2 linked regions of the Neodiprion lecontei genome follow. The protein of the gene in region 1 purifies or fractionates together with the protein of each later gene. This does not show direct contact. Links are inferred from orthologs where the notes say so. Each region holds a gene or a part of one and is shown on either strand. Other genes may lie near its edges. The genes, in order: brefeldin A-inhibited guanine nucleotide-exchange protein 3 and prohibitin-2.

Region 1 (4,949 bases):
CTGATAGAATTTCAATTATGTCCATGTTTGAAAGTGAGTGGCTCTTAGAAACACAACAACATGTGCATAGCTATGTAATGATTAAATATTTGACCAACCTGTGAATTAATGGTTTTGGCTTCATGTTGTGAAGATAAGCAACCCCACGAGCACACTGGAGTGCCCAACTCATTGCATGGCCTGCTGTGTAGTAAGGTTGTGGATTACAATGCAACACTGTAACATTAACACATTATAGTTATAAAATATGTGTGTATTGTAAAGAAATTTTTTTTAAAAAAGCAGAAAAAGTATCAATTCTCAAAAGATACGTACACAGCTCGAATGTAAATGGAAGAATAAAGCAGAGAAAGTATCATTCACGTATAATTATTAGAATGATGGGACAGAGCAGCCTTAAAGTGAAATTTGAAAACTCAGTAATGTATGCTGTATTTTGCAGATCATTGGTGTTTTATATTCAGGCACTGCATTACTCCTATTTCATAGATAAGGTATCAAGTAAAACCACTACATTTGTTTAAACATACTGGGTTGTACTCAACAACCAAAATTATTTCAAGCAACTCTATTCGCAATTGATTAAATAAAGAAATACCATGATGTGATACTTCTGAAATAATACTTATCATTTACAAAGTAAATCATTTTTTAGGATGCATGGTCATTTTTTGGATATGTGTATATTTCACAAATCATTAGCTGGATGTTAGTTTGAATTAACACTAGTGTACTATAAATTTTCAATTACTTGCCATTATATAAAGAGCCACCCTCAGCATACTCCATAACTAAACAAACTGGATTTTTTGTACATGCACCATAGAGTTTAACAATATTAGGATGTGCTACTCTGGATAGCTGGCGCACTTCGACGGTGAATGCCTTCCTCTCTCCCTCAGAGTTTATGTGTTTCACCGCCACATACTGACCTCTCCATCGTCCTTTCCAGACAACTCCAAAGGAGCCTTTCCCAACAATCTGTTATCAGAAACAATTACTTTTTTACTTTACTGTATTAGTTAAAGGAAGTTGGATCGCTGACATAAAATGTCTAAACAAATCATGAGGCGCGTATCAAAGCTGATTAGATGAATTTGATTACACAGCAATGGCTGATATCTCTTTGTAAATAAATGTTTTAATTTTAACTAACGTTAGCTGATCTATAAAGCTTGTTCGTTGATATTGTATAAATCAATTCACTCTCTTTTACAAACGCGAGTTCTATGCACGTCAATAATAATGTTTACTGATGAATAACGGTGAGCAACAGCCCGAAAGTGGATGGACATATTAACAGTCAGGACTCAGTTGATTGATCGAGATAAATAATTGAGTGAAAAAAATATTCATGTATGTTTATAGAGACCAAAATGTTTTGGAGACGAAGATGTTGTGAGGTTATGTTTTCGCAATAGATTTTTATACGAGGTTCATTGATACGATATGGAATTTTACGAGTGCTATTTATTTAAGGGTAAGTTATTTGCTACAAAATGACAATTTGGTGAGGGTAAACATAATGAAAATGTGCGATTTTCTTACACAGATATCACAAGATTACCTCCTGTGTTTCAATTTCATTGTAGTTAATTTCTTCAACAAACTGTTGCTGATGGCCAGTTCCTTCCTTGCTCGCCATCACATACCGTCCGCATCACATTATTTTCAGGCCGCATTTACCCAGCTAACGCAAATTTTTCACAAATATTTATTTGAACTGGCATTCAAATTGTTTCGCCATTTGCCATTTTTCGTCTTTCTACCGACGTGTTTGCGTTGTTTTGAGACGAAGTGGGCGTTCTGTAATACAATTGGTCAAAGATATCAAACCTGCAATGGCGATCGCAGCGGCGCTGCTGAGTGGACGAGCGTGCAGCGGAAAATTTGAGAAATATCAAAAGCAGAACACTCGCGATAGTTGTCGAATATAATCAATTATTAGACAAGATTTTAAGTAAATAATATAATTCTCATATCGAAATGACTACGCCGCGTTGTTCCGAGTTTATTCTGGACTCGTAGGACATTTTTATCTCGTCTCCGGGTTCTGTACTCGCTTTATCGATTTGTTGCATGGTTCTGTCATGGAGGACCTCCTGCTGCAGATCGTCAAGGAGGCTTCGCACGCGAAATTACCAAACATACGTAAATCGGCGCAAGAGGCACATGGTGAGCTAAACATTGAACATCTTATCTTATCCATTTTTTGATTCTTCACTCACTTATTTTCTCCCACAGATTTCCTGGACAAGCAGCAAGGTCTATTGCGGGATCCCCCGCACGAACTGCGGGCGAAATGCCTCCACACCTGTCAGCTCGCTCTCGAAACAAGGAGAAGCAAATTTGTCGCCTTTGGTCTTGCTGGCCTACATGTAATGCATTCTAATGATCCCGATATTCACAGCTGTTCGCTTTATTTCGCCAGCTTTCCTTATCGCTCGTACATTGCCTCACTCTCACTGTGTAACACCCTCGTATTTGCAATAACCACATCCTGGGTGGTACAATTACTGATAGTGCTTTCACCATATGATACTCACTATGCTACACAGCTAGCACTCATTCACATTTCTGACGCTGACTGATTTTTTCTACTAATTACTGTTTCGACGATAACTGTATAAAAATATTTAAATTATATTTCGAAGTGAAACTATACTTTAACTGAAAAAAATTGTTCCAAGAATATAATTAATGTTAAAATTAGATCATTGTGCCACAAATTTTTGTTTTCAGAATTCATGATTTTTTGTAAAATACTTTGAGCAGCTTGACTAGATTTAGAAACTCATTCAGAGCTGTGTTATTTAGCAAGTTACCAATCGATATTCAGACAGTAGTTTTTGCTTACCAATTGATTGTTTTTACATGTCTCCTTGCAATTTCAGACCTGTTATGCAGTGAAAGTTGATCAATAAGAAATAGGAAACTATTTTTTTTGATTTCAGTCTCTTTCTCCTGTTATGACAGCGTTTTGAATATATTCTGCAAATTTGAAGCTCATGCCAAATGATTTTTATTGCAATGGGAGAAGCTCTAAGTTTTTTGGTCACGGTTTCGACACTGATTACACAATATATAACATATTTTTACTGACATATCAAGCACTCTGCTTATGTTTCACTTATTTGCTCATGTCGTTTTTTTAATCGACTAATATATAGTGTTAAATTTGACATTAAATGTTTCTAAGATAATTTATACTTATTCGCTTCAATGAGTTATTTTTTCAGGATTATTCGAACAAACATTTTGTTTCTAATTGAAATTGAATAGAATAATTTCTTATAGATATAAGTGGTTATATGCAATTAATGTTCATTTATGTCTTATGGCAGAAAATGCTGAGGGACGATAGATTTCAGTCTCCTTATGAGCCGGAGGATGATTCCTTGTGGCTTCCAGCTCAAATGCTCCATACTATGAGTTCCATATTATCCCAGTCAGACGATGCACAGACAGACATGCTAAAAGTAAGTTAGTTGTAAAATTGAAAACAGAAATGAAGAGCAAATACAGTCTAGGCTGTTTTTACCTGTGATTCATTTTAAACCAATCAAATCATTAATATTATTATTGATGTTATTCGTAAAATTTTTCCTAGGTGCTACTGCAAGTTGCATGTTCTTCATATTGGACAATGAATGGTCGTCTCATTATTGCTGTACTAACAACTTGTAGCGAGGCCTTTGAAAATGGAAACCAAGCAGTTAGAACTGCGGCACAGGCAGCTACCAGCCAAACTCTTCGATCCTTCTGCTTATTTCTAGGCAATATGAACAGATATTTAATTGCTTAGGATGTAGTTTAGTATACACCACAAATTTTGACTACTAAATATTTTTATTACAGATGAAGAATGTCAAGAAATGGACGAGAATGCCAAGAAGAATAAGAATATTCATGAAAGAGGGGTATCTTGTTTTAATGAGGCGATACCTATACTACAATATATCTGTAGCAAATTAGATGAAGCTCAAACGTAAGTATTGCTGAAAAAAATCAAACGAAACATTTACAGTTGAACTTCTGTAGAAAAAAAAAAATTCATTTTAATATTCTTCGAACAATGTCACCGCAGTATTAAAATGTGCACTTATTACTGCAAAGTTAAGTTTAATCTAATATTTTTCAATCATTATTCCAGAAACGGCCGTAATGGAACAACAGTTGTGTTTCTTCTAGAATGCTTGCACACATTGATATCATCTCTTCCGCAGAAAATCCATACTAATGCACACTTCACGACATTCTTGTGGCAAAAGTTTTGCCCCGCGCTCATAGCTTTTCTGGGTACTCCAAGAGTTGACAAAACATTTATATCCAGGGAAGGAAAAGATACGGAAGTTGGTAGAGGGTCAGGCTACTTAGCAACAGCTTTGAGTTTTGACAGCCATCAGGCTAAAACTGTTTATAGGTATGATATTACAGTGGCAAGCAAACTTGGCTCAAAGTGTGTCGAAAAAAGTAATTCCGCACTGATTAGATACACTTTATGGCGTTTTATATAACATATTTGGAATATACCTATGAAAATTTAGTGTAATAATTTAATTTACAAATTTCAGTATCGGAACAGAATTGGTCCGTTTGGTTGGTTGTGTTGGGTCGCTTCGCCCGGTACTGGAATCAGTATTTCACAGAATGTTACTATACCCACCACCACAACACAGAATAGAACCTTTAAAAGCACTTCGGGAGTTGTTGCGTAGTCCGAGTAGAATGGTAGATTTTGCAGGACCTTTGCTGGTTGAAGATGAAAAAGGAAGTCAACAAAGCGACATGGCATTAATGCGACTGTAGGTTTTCAACTTTTAACCGACGATCTTCAATTCAGCCAAAGATTAGTTACATTTATTTTATATCATTATTCATCTTCCAGAGTTATGGATTCAATAGAAGAATCCACAACAGCTGGGCCGTTGGTACTTCATGCCTCTGTT
Region 2 (6,809 bases), on another chromosome or scaffold:
GAAATTAGTCAGGCTTAAATAAAGACACAACTCGAAATAGTATTTCGTATATTGTAGTAACCTCTGTATGCAAACGATGTACATACATACTTATAATGACACAACTAAAGATAATACGCTGCAAGGACCACAATGACGCATTTTTGACCGATAAAGGTGGCATAATTACAAAAATGACATATTATATTAATAATTAATTATTGATTTATATTTCATCGAAATAAAGCGACACTTTTTGAGTTACGATACAGGGTAAAAAAATATTTGACTTACCTTATTCGTATGAAGTGTCACAATTTGAGATATCGTGTAACTATTCAAGTCTTATAACTGGTGTAAAGTTGGCTGCGAAACGTTTGAAACGACATACTTGATGCCCATCCGGTTCAAAACCGGCGCGCTACGATGACAACACTTCTGTCCTCTGGGTGGCGAGTTTTACGACTACACAAGTGTCACTTCGCGTGGTTAAAGATTCGAACCTCAGCAATAGAAATTGTATAGTATTAACATATATTTTTATTAACTCAAAAACGCCAATTTTAGAGTTGTTTGACCTTTGTGACCAAGGCGCGATATTTATATCATACGTAATATAAATTACATTAGGCATTGATAATAAAAATCCATGCTCTGCAACCCCTGAATACAATTACTCGAATGAGAATTCAGTTAACAGTGGTATATTATGAAGACGATGTTACACATACCCTATACGTTGAAGTCTGTACTTTCTCTTTTTTATTTTATTTTTTTTCGTGAAGTATTGATAATTAATATTGATTTTGGTGAAGCGTTGCTGGAAGAATTTAAAGAAACCGTAATAGCGATCCGAAAGTTTCTGTATCGGCGGGAGCATGTAAATACATGCAATACCATAAAACACACAGAACCCCATTGGGTTCACTGCCGTTACCCGTCTTTATGATCAACGGCAAATATGGCAAGATTGAACAAGCAAATTTTTGGATGACAGGAGTTTACAATCCACAAGAAGTCTGTCTCGATTTGTAGGTGATTTCATTGGTCAGATCCAACTGACCTACTGAACTGGCCAATGAAATCAGCGGTCTTAGTTCAACGTTGAAAGACCAGACCGTTGTATGTGACGTCATAAACGTCATGAAATGCATATTTACAAGCCAGGCTTACAGCATATACTGTACGTACACTTGGGGACAGATAACCCATGACCGTGGAAATTAACCGTAGAATATGCATAGTTCTTATATGTCTATGAAAATATGTGTCAATCCAACAAATCATTATCCCCGCGGTATTTACTGGATTGCGTTGCGCGTGGAAGGAAAGATGCAGAGGGCGCCGCTTGACAATGAATTCCTAGACCCACTGCGTCGTGACCACGGTCTTACATAGGTACAGGTCTTGCAAAGAAACCAATTTTCTGCGGAGCGGCGTAGTTTTCTTGTTGTCCGTGTTTCAAGTGTTTGAAATAGCCATGTCACGGCGCTGCTATCTAGGGATGTATGTGGGGTGGGGATGAAAATGTGCCACCGAAATTATATTTGAAATGAAGCATATAACCTAAAATCAGCGCGTGCGTCATACTGTGTCTTTTTGATACTTATTATTTTTTACTTAAAGTTCAATATTTAATTTCTTTACTGTTAAATATTTAGGCCATGTTCGCAAATTGACTGACAGTACTGAAAATTCCCTAGGACAGAGTCAGAGCTATTCACGAACTTGGAAGCGCAAAAGAGATAAAGGATTACTGACAGTACTGTCAGTCAATTTTCAAACACAGCGTTCGCTTTTGGATGCGTTCCAAAATTAGCTCCCATTACCATTAGCAATCTTTTATCTCGTTTGCACTTTCTAGTTAATGACTAACTCTGTTTCCGTCTTAGGGGACTCCGAGCACCGGTTAATACGTGATTTCGGAACGCACTTTTTGTTGCAGCGCGATCAGCGTCTTCACGCCCGACTCGTCCTCAATTCATCTACACGATCGAAGTCGGCAGTCTAGATTTCATCAAGAGCACGTGGTTGAAACCAAGTAGAGCCAGCGGCAGGCCTCGTTATCGGCCTTTTAACCTTTGCATCAGCTAGTTTGTTCGTTACGTGAAATCATTCCCGAATTTATCGAGCATTTATTTGAGGATCGTTATTTTGGTTTGGTTGTTGAAACTGATAATACGCCGTGAAATCTATATCGACAATGGCGCAAAGTAAGCTCAACGAACTGGCTGGCAAGTTTGGAAAAGCTCCGAATGGTTTATCGCCGGGATTGAAATTGCTCGCCGTTGCCGGCGCTGCCATGTATGGAGTCACACAGTCTATGTATACTGGTAAATAAATTCGTCTCACACCAGCTAATTTGTGTTCTAGTTATAAAATTACATGAACAATTGCGTTGTGATGGAGAAAATTTTCTGTACAAACACTGCTTGTACATACGGTTTTAATCTATAAACTCCTCGTATTAACATCGATTCATTTTACCAATAGTTGATGGTGGGCATCGGGCAATCATATTTTCACGCCTCGGAGGTATCCAAAAGGACATCATGACGGAAGGACTTCACTTTCGAATTCCGTGGTTTCAGTATCCCATTATATATGACATCAGAAGCAAACCTAGGAAAATTTCATCGCCAACTGGATCAAAGGATCTTCAAATGGTCAACATTTCCCTTAGAGTCTTATCTCGCCCTGATGCATTTAATTTACCTGTCATGTATAGGCAACTAGGTCTTGACTATGATGAAAAGGTGATTAAAACTGTTATTTCGTCTACTTTTCAGTTAAAAATATCAGTGAGTTGAAACCGAGAGGACATTTCACGAATTATTTTTTTTGTAATTAGCACTAACTTTGAACTACTTTTGTAAAAACAAAACTTACTTATAGGTACAATACTTTGCACTTGTAGGTTCTGCCAAGCATTTGTAATGAAGTACTAAAGTCTGTGGTGGCCAAGTTCAATGCATCTCAATTGATAACGCAGCGACAACAAGTATCTATGATGATTCGCAGAGAGCTAACTGAGCGTGCAAAAGATTTCAATATCGTTTTGGATGATGTGTCAATAACAGAGTTGAGTTTTGGTAAGGAATACACAGCTGCCGTTGAGGCAAAACAGGTAGCTCAACAGGAAGCGCAACGAGCAGCATTTGTCGTTGAACGAGCCAAACAGGAGAAGCAGCAGAAAATTGTCCAAGCAGAGGGAGAAGCGGAAGCTGCAAAAATGATATCCTTTAACTATTTCAACCGTAAAACTAGTGTTACATTCAAAAAGGAGAAACCTGCGGCATTTCGTTAGCCTTGTTGCTAATCGTGTGGGCTGATTAGTCATATCTGATTCTTTCGGTCTTGTATAAATTATCCTTGACTGAAATATACCTTGGTTTAGCTGTTGGACGAAACCCTGGATACTTGAAGCTAAGAAAAATTCGGGCAGCGCAGAGCATATCTCGAACGGTAATTCAATTTAGGGACCTAATAGTTGTTTGCTATTTATAACTTGATTATATGTTTCAAACCATGAATATGATTAAATTACCAGTGACAGGTATCGGACCCATATTATTATAGATTATAGCTTTCTTCACTGTCATCAAACCCTTTTTCTGTATCATTGTTTCAAAGCTCAATGTTAACAAGTGTTGATAAATTAACAATATGATTTTTTGTTTTAGATCGCAAATTCACAAAATCGTGTGTACTTGAGTGGCAACGGCCTTATGCTCAATATTCAGGATCCAACATTCGATGATCTGTCTGAGAAATTGAAAAGTAAGCAGTAATGACTAATTGAAAAGGACTTCAATCTGCACTTCTCTATTTCGTCATCTGTGCTCCGTTCTAATAATTTCCAGCGTCAACTAATTTACAATGCAAATACGAAGGACACAAAGTTGATTGTTAATCATGTAGCTAACAGATATTATAAAATACGCAAATTTGTAGATATGAGCTTTGCAGCGCTTGCTTCTTGCCCTGGCCTCCTGCCCATTATTTTCAAGTTTCCCACATTTGCCATTAACCTAATAAGACCAGGCACGCTCGCAAAATCCGAGATCATCTGATTTCAGGTAATGGAATATCGCCTGCTAGGTGGAAAAACTGGAATGAATCTGCGCAGCATGCAGTCAAATCTTTGAACATGAATTCATCTCAGCCAGCTTTGAGAAATGTTGAAAAGCCGTCGATTGTCTCAACTACTCCTTACGTCGAAGATCCTATTTCCCTTATTCTGGACTCTGCAGATGCGGGGGCTAAGCTTATCGTTCCCTAAGCGGCAATTTAATTAGAAGAATTTCGGATCTCTGTCAGAAGTTTGTTCAAAGTAATCTCACAAGCGAGCCTGCCTTGTCATATCTAATTATCCCAAATTCCTTATTGATCCTTTATAACCAGGCATCCATCCTCTACTTCACACCGGCATAATACATGGTACTAATCAAATTTTATTACAGGCTAAGGACTACCATCCGACGAACGATACATAGATTCATACCGAAGGTGGCAAGGATTGTCCTGGGTAAAACTTGTGTACATCAATACTGTCACGCCTGTATAGTGAAGATAATTCTAATAAATAACACAGTTTTAGTTTGTAAAATGTGATCAGAGCTTTTTAGTGACTGAAAATCTGCGTTTGCGGTACTGTGGTTTTATTGTAACTTTTTTGCCAGTAGAAGTTTTGATTTCCGAAATCAAGCAGGTTAGAATTCTTTTCAATCTCTTTCCTGATGTATGTTATACCGAAATAGCGTTCCAATATTTACTTATACCCTGTTGGAACTAATGATGTGTTTTTCTAACACATTGAGAGGCGTTATTCGTGCTTGATTCTGACTTTTGGAAAGAATTTTTGAAAAGACCATATTTGCCAAATTCGGGCAACACTCTGGCTAAGGTTGACCGTTTGTCTTCAAATGTCTGTACTTAAAAATTTTGTTTTGGAATCAACTTGTCGGAGAATTCTTTGAGAAATTGGCCTCTTAGGAATACGCAAACGAAATCGTAGATTCAACAATTGGATGAATTCGTAGAATATAAAAGTTTTAGTTGTTTGGATGTAACTTTTGATCCGGTGTTCACAGCGACTTTAGACTATGTGTAATCGGTTACTCTCGCAAAATTACGTTAATATGGCGTCTAAATAAATTTATTCCAGCAGTTTTGCAAAGTTCGCGAGGAATGGACTGCAAAAATACAAAAGGGTTGTCCTTTCTTTTTTACGAGCCTAAGACTTTTCGTCTGAGAATCAATTTCAATGACTCTTTCTAAACTAATCGTAAATATTAATTAATTCCGAAATGATATGAATACAGCGTCTGATTAAATGCAATTCATGATTATGATGAACGTATCATTTTCCAAAATCTGTGGAACCGACAAAATACAAACGGATTTGATTTTTAGCGAGTTGCAGACCTGAAAATCGATTTGTCTTCCAACGGTTTCGTAGAAGCGTTGCGTCAACGATTGGACCCTCAGAATTTCGAAATACGTGTACAATATTGTGAGATCAATATATGTTGAAATCCAAGGTCTTTTCCTTGCTGTCATTTGTGAATTTGTGACAGCAGAGACTGGATACGAGTCGCAGCCAAATAATTACCCCACAGATTCCGGTTATAGACCGAACTCATACACACGCATGACAAGGAAATTGATTAGTAAATGAGCCTTTGTATAACTATGGGTAATTTGCGCATATATTTTAATCTTTTAACAGCATTACACCTCAATTTCTTACAAACATCAAAATAATCTATGTTGTTAACTTAATGATCTGTCTGTTTCAATATCACTTCCACAATTACTAGGATTTGTGCATTTGCACCCAGTTCGTGAAACAAATCAACAATGAATGCAACAGTTTACTGATGCAATTGCATATGTAGAGACGATGACAATATGCTGCTAGGTGTGTGTAGGGAATGGATAACGAAAGGTTATTTATGGGGAGAAATGTTCAATTCCACTCAGGAGTCTGTAGAAAGAACAAATTATATATTCATGGTAACAATACATTAACAATACGACGATCAATTAGAGACGCAGGATTATTAAATCTGGTAATTCAACATGTTTTTCTCGTTCTCTTACGTCTACAGTTCGACTCACACACATAACTTTTCTTTACTCTCTCCTTACTCTCTTCCGCTTTTCATCTTACTACCTTTATTGTCAACTCTACTACTCTCGTGCTCTCTTGCTGTACACTCCACATGCCTTTCGCTCACATTCCTATTAGCCTCTCTCTACATTTTGCTGTAATCTGCCTCTCACCACATCTAACAATTCCATGCAAGAAAAATTCCCATAATCCGTTATGGTGGTATGAATGAAATACTTTGTTTCAATATTTATCTCTTTCAGTAACAATTGTGTATTTATCATTGAGAATTCGATTTAAATACGTAGTATAAGGAATACTCATTATTCATTTTTATCGGCAACATCGTCGGCTGCTGTAGTGATGATGCTTTCTTCATCCTGTTGTGGCTGACGCCGCCCCAAGCGACACTGAATTTTTCGGAACAATTGTGGTACAACAATATTGTTGTAGCAGGACATACCAATTAGTAAAACTGCAAAACCTATGAGCTAGAAGACAAAGAGAAGGACCATATAATTGTGGAATAAATGAATACTGCAATGGTGAGATTATTCTGAAATCGAAAGTTGCATAATCACCTGAAGATAATGAAAAGTTTGCCATTGAAATGCCAAAGAGAATGCCCATATTACCAATGTCCTTACACTGTCCAATACCATCCTTGTAGTGGCGCTCATTTCCTTTGTAACACTGACGCCAGCAAAGTTGAAGA

The links.
Region 2: the proteins of brefeldin A-inhibited guanine nucleotide-exchange protein 3 (region 1) and prohibitin-2 purify together in Homo sapiens (affinity purification with western blotting; 4 studies listed by BioGRID). This does not show direct contact. The link is inferred for Neodiprion lecontei from reciprocal best matches to the Homo sapiens genes ARFGEF3 and PHB2.

What each region holds. Positions count from the first base shown.
Region 1 is NC_060260.1:31,603,279-31,608,227, reverse strand, and holds the start of brefeldin A-inhibited guanine nucleotide-exchange protein 3, read left to right. Parts: upstream 1-1,855; 5' UTR 1,856-2,090; coding exon 2,091-2,175; intron 2,176-2,244; coding exon 2,245-2,378; intron 2,379-3,344; coding exon 3,345-3,479; intron 3,480-3,610; coding exon 3,611-3,776; intron 3,777-3,858; coding exon 3,859-3,988; intron 3,989-4,153; coding exon 4,154-4,423; intron 4,424-4,574; coding exon 4,575-4,805; intron 4,806-4,888; coding exon 4,889-4,949. Other genes in the region: mitogen-activated protein kinase kinase kinase 7, read right to left, coding at 99-216, 756-981, 1,568-1,645. UniProt on the Homo sapiens protein: Participates in the regulation of systemic glucose homeostasis, where it negatively regulates insulin granule biogenesis in pancreatic islet beta cells. Also regulates glucagon granule production in pancreatic alpha cells.
Region 2 is NC_060263.1:14,560,402-14,567,210, reverse strand, and holds prohibitin-2, read left to right. Parts: upstream 1-1,956; 5' UTR 1,957-2,182; coding exon 2,183-2,312; intron 2,313-2,472; coding exon 2,473-2,735; intron 2,736-2,896; coding exon 2,897-3,214; intron 3,215-3,366; coding exon 3,367-3,444; intron 3,445-3,662; coding exon 3,663-3,759; intron 3,760-4,058; coding exon 4,059-4,261; 3' UTR 4,262-4,312; intron 4,313-4,442; coding exon of another isoform or gene 4,443-4,447; 3' UTR 4,448-6,279; downstream 6,280-6,809. Other genes in the region: solute carrier family 35 member F6, read right to left, coding at 6,418-6,585, 6,676-6,809.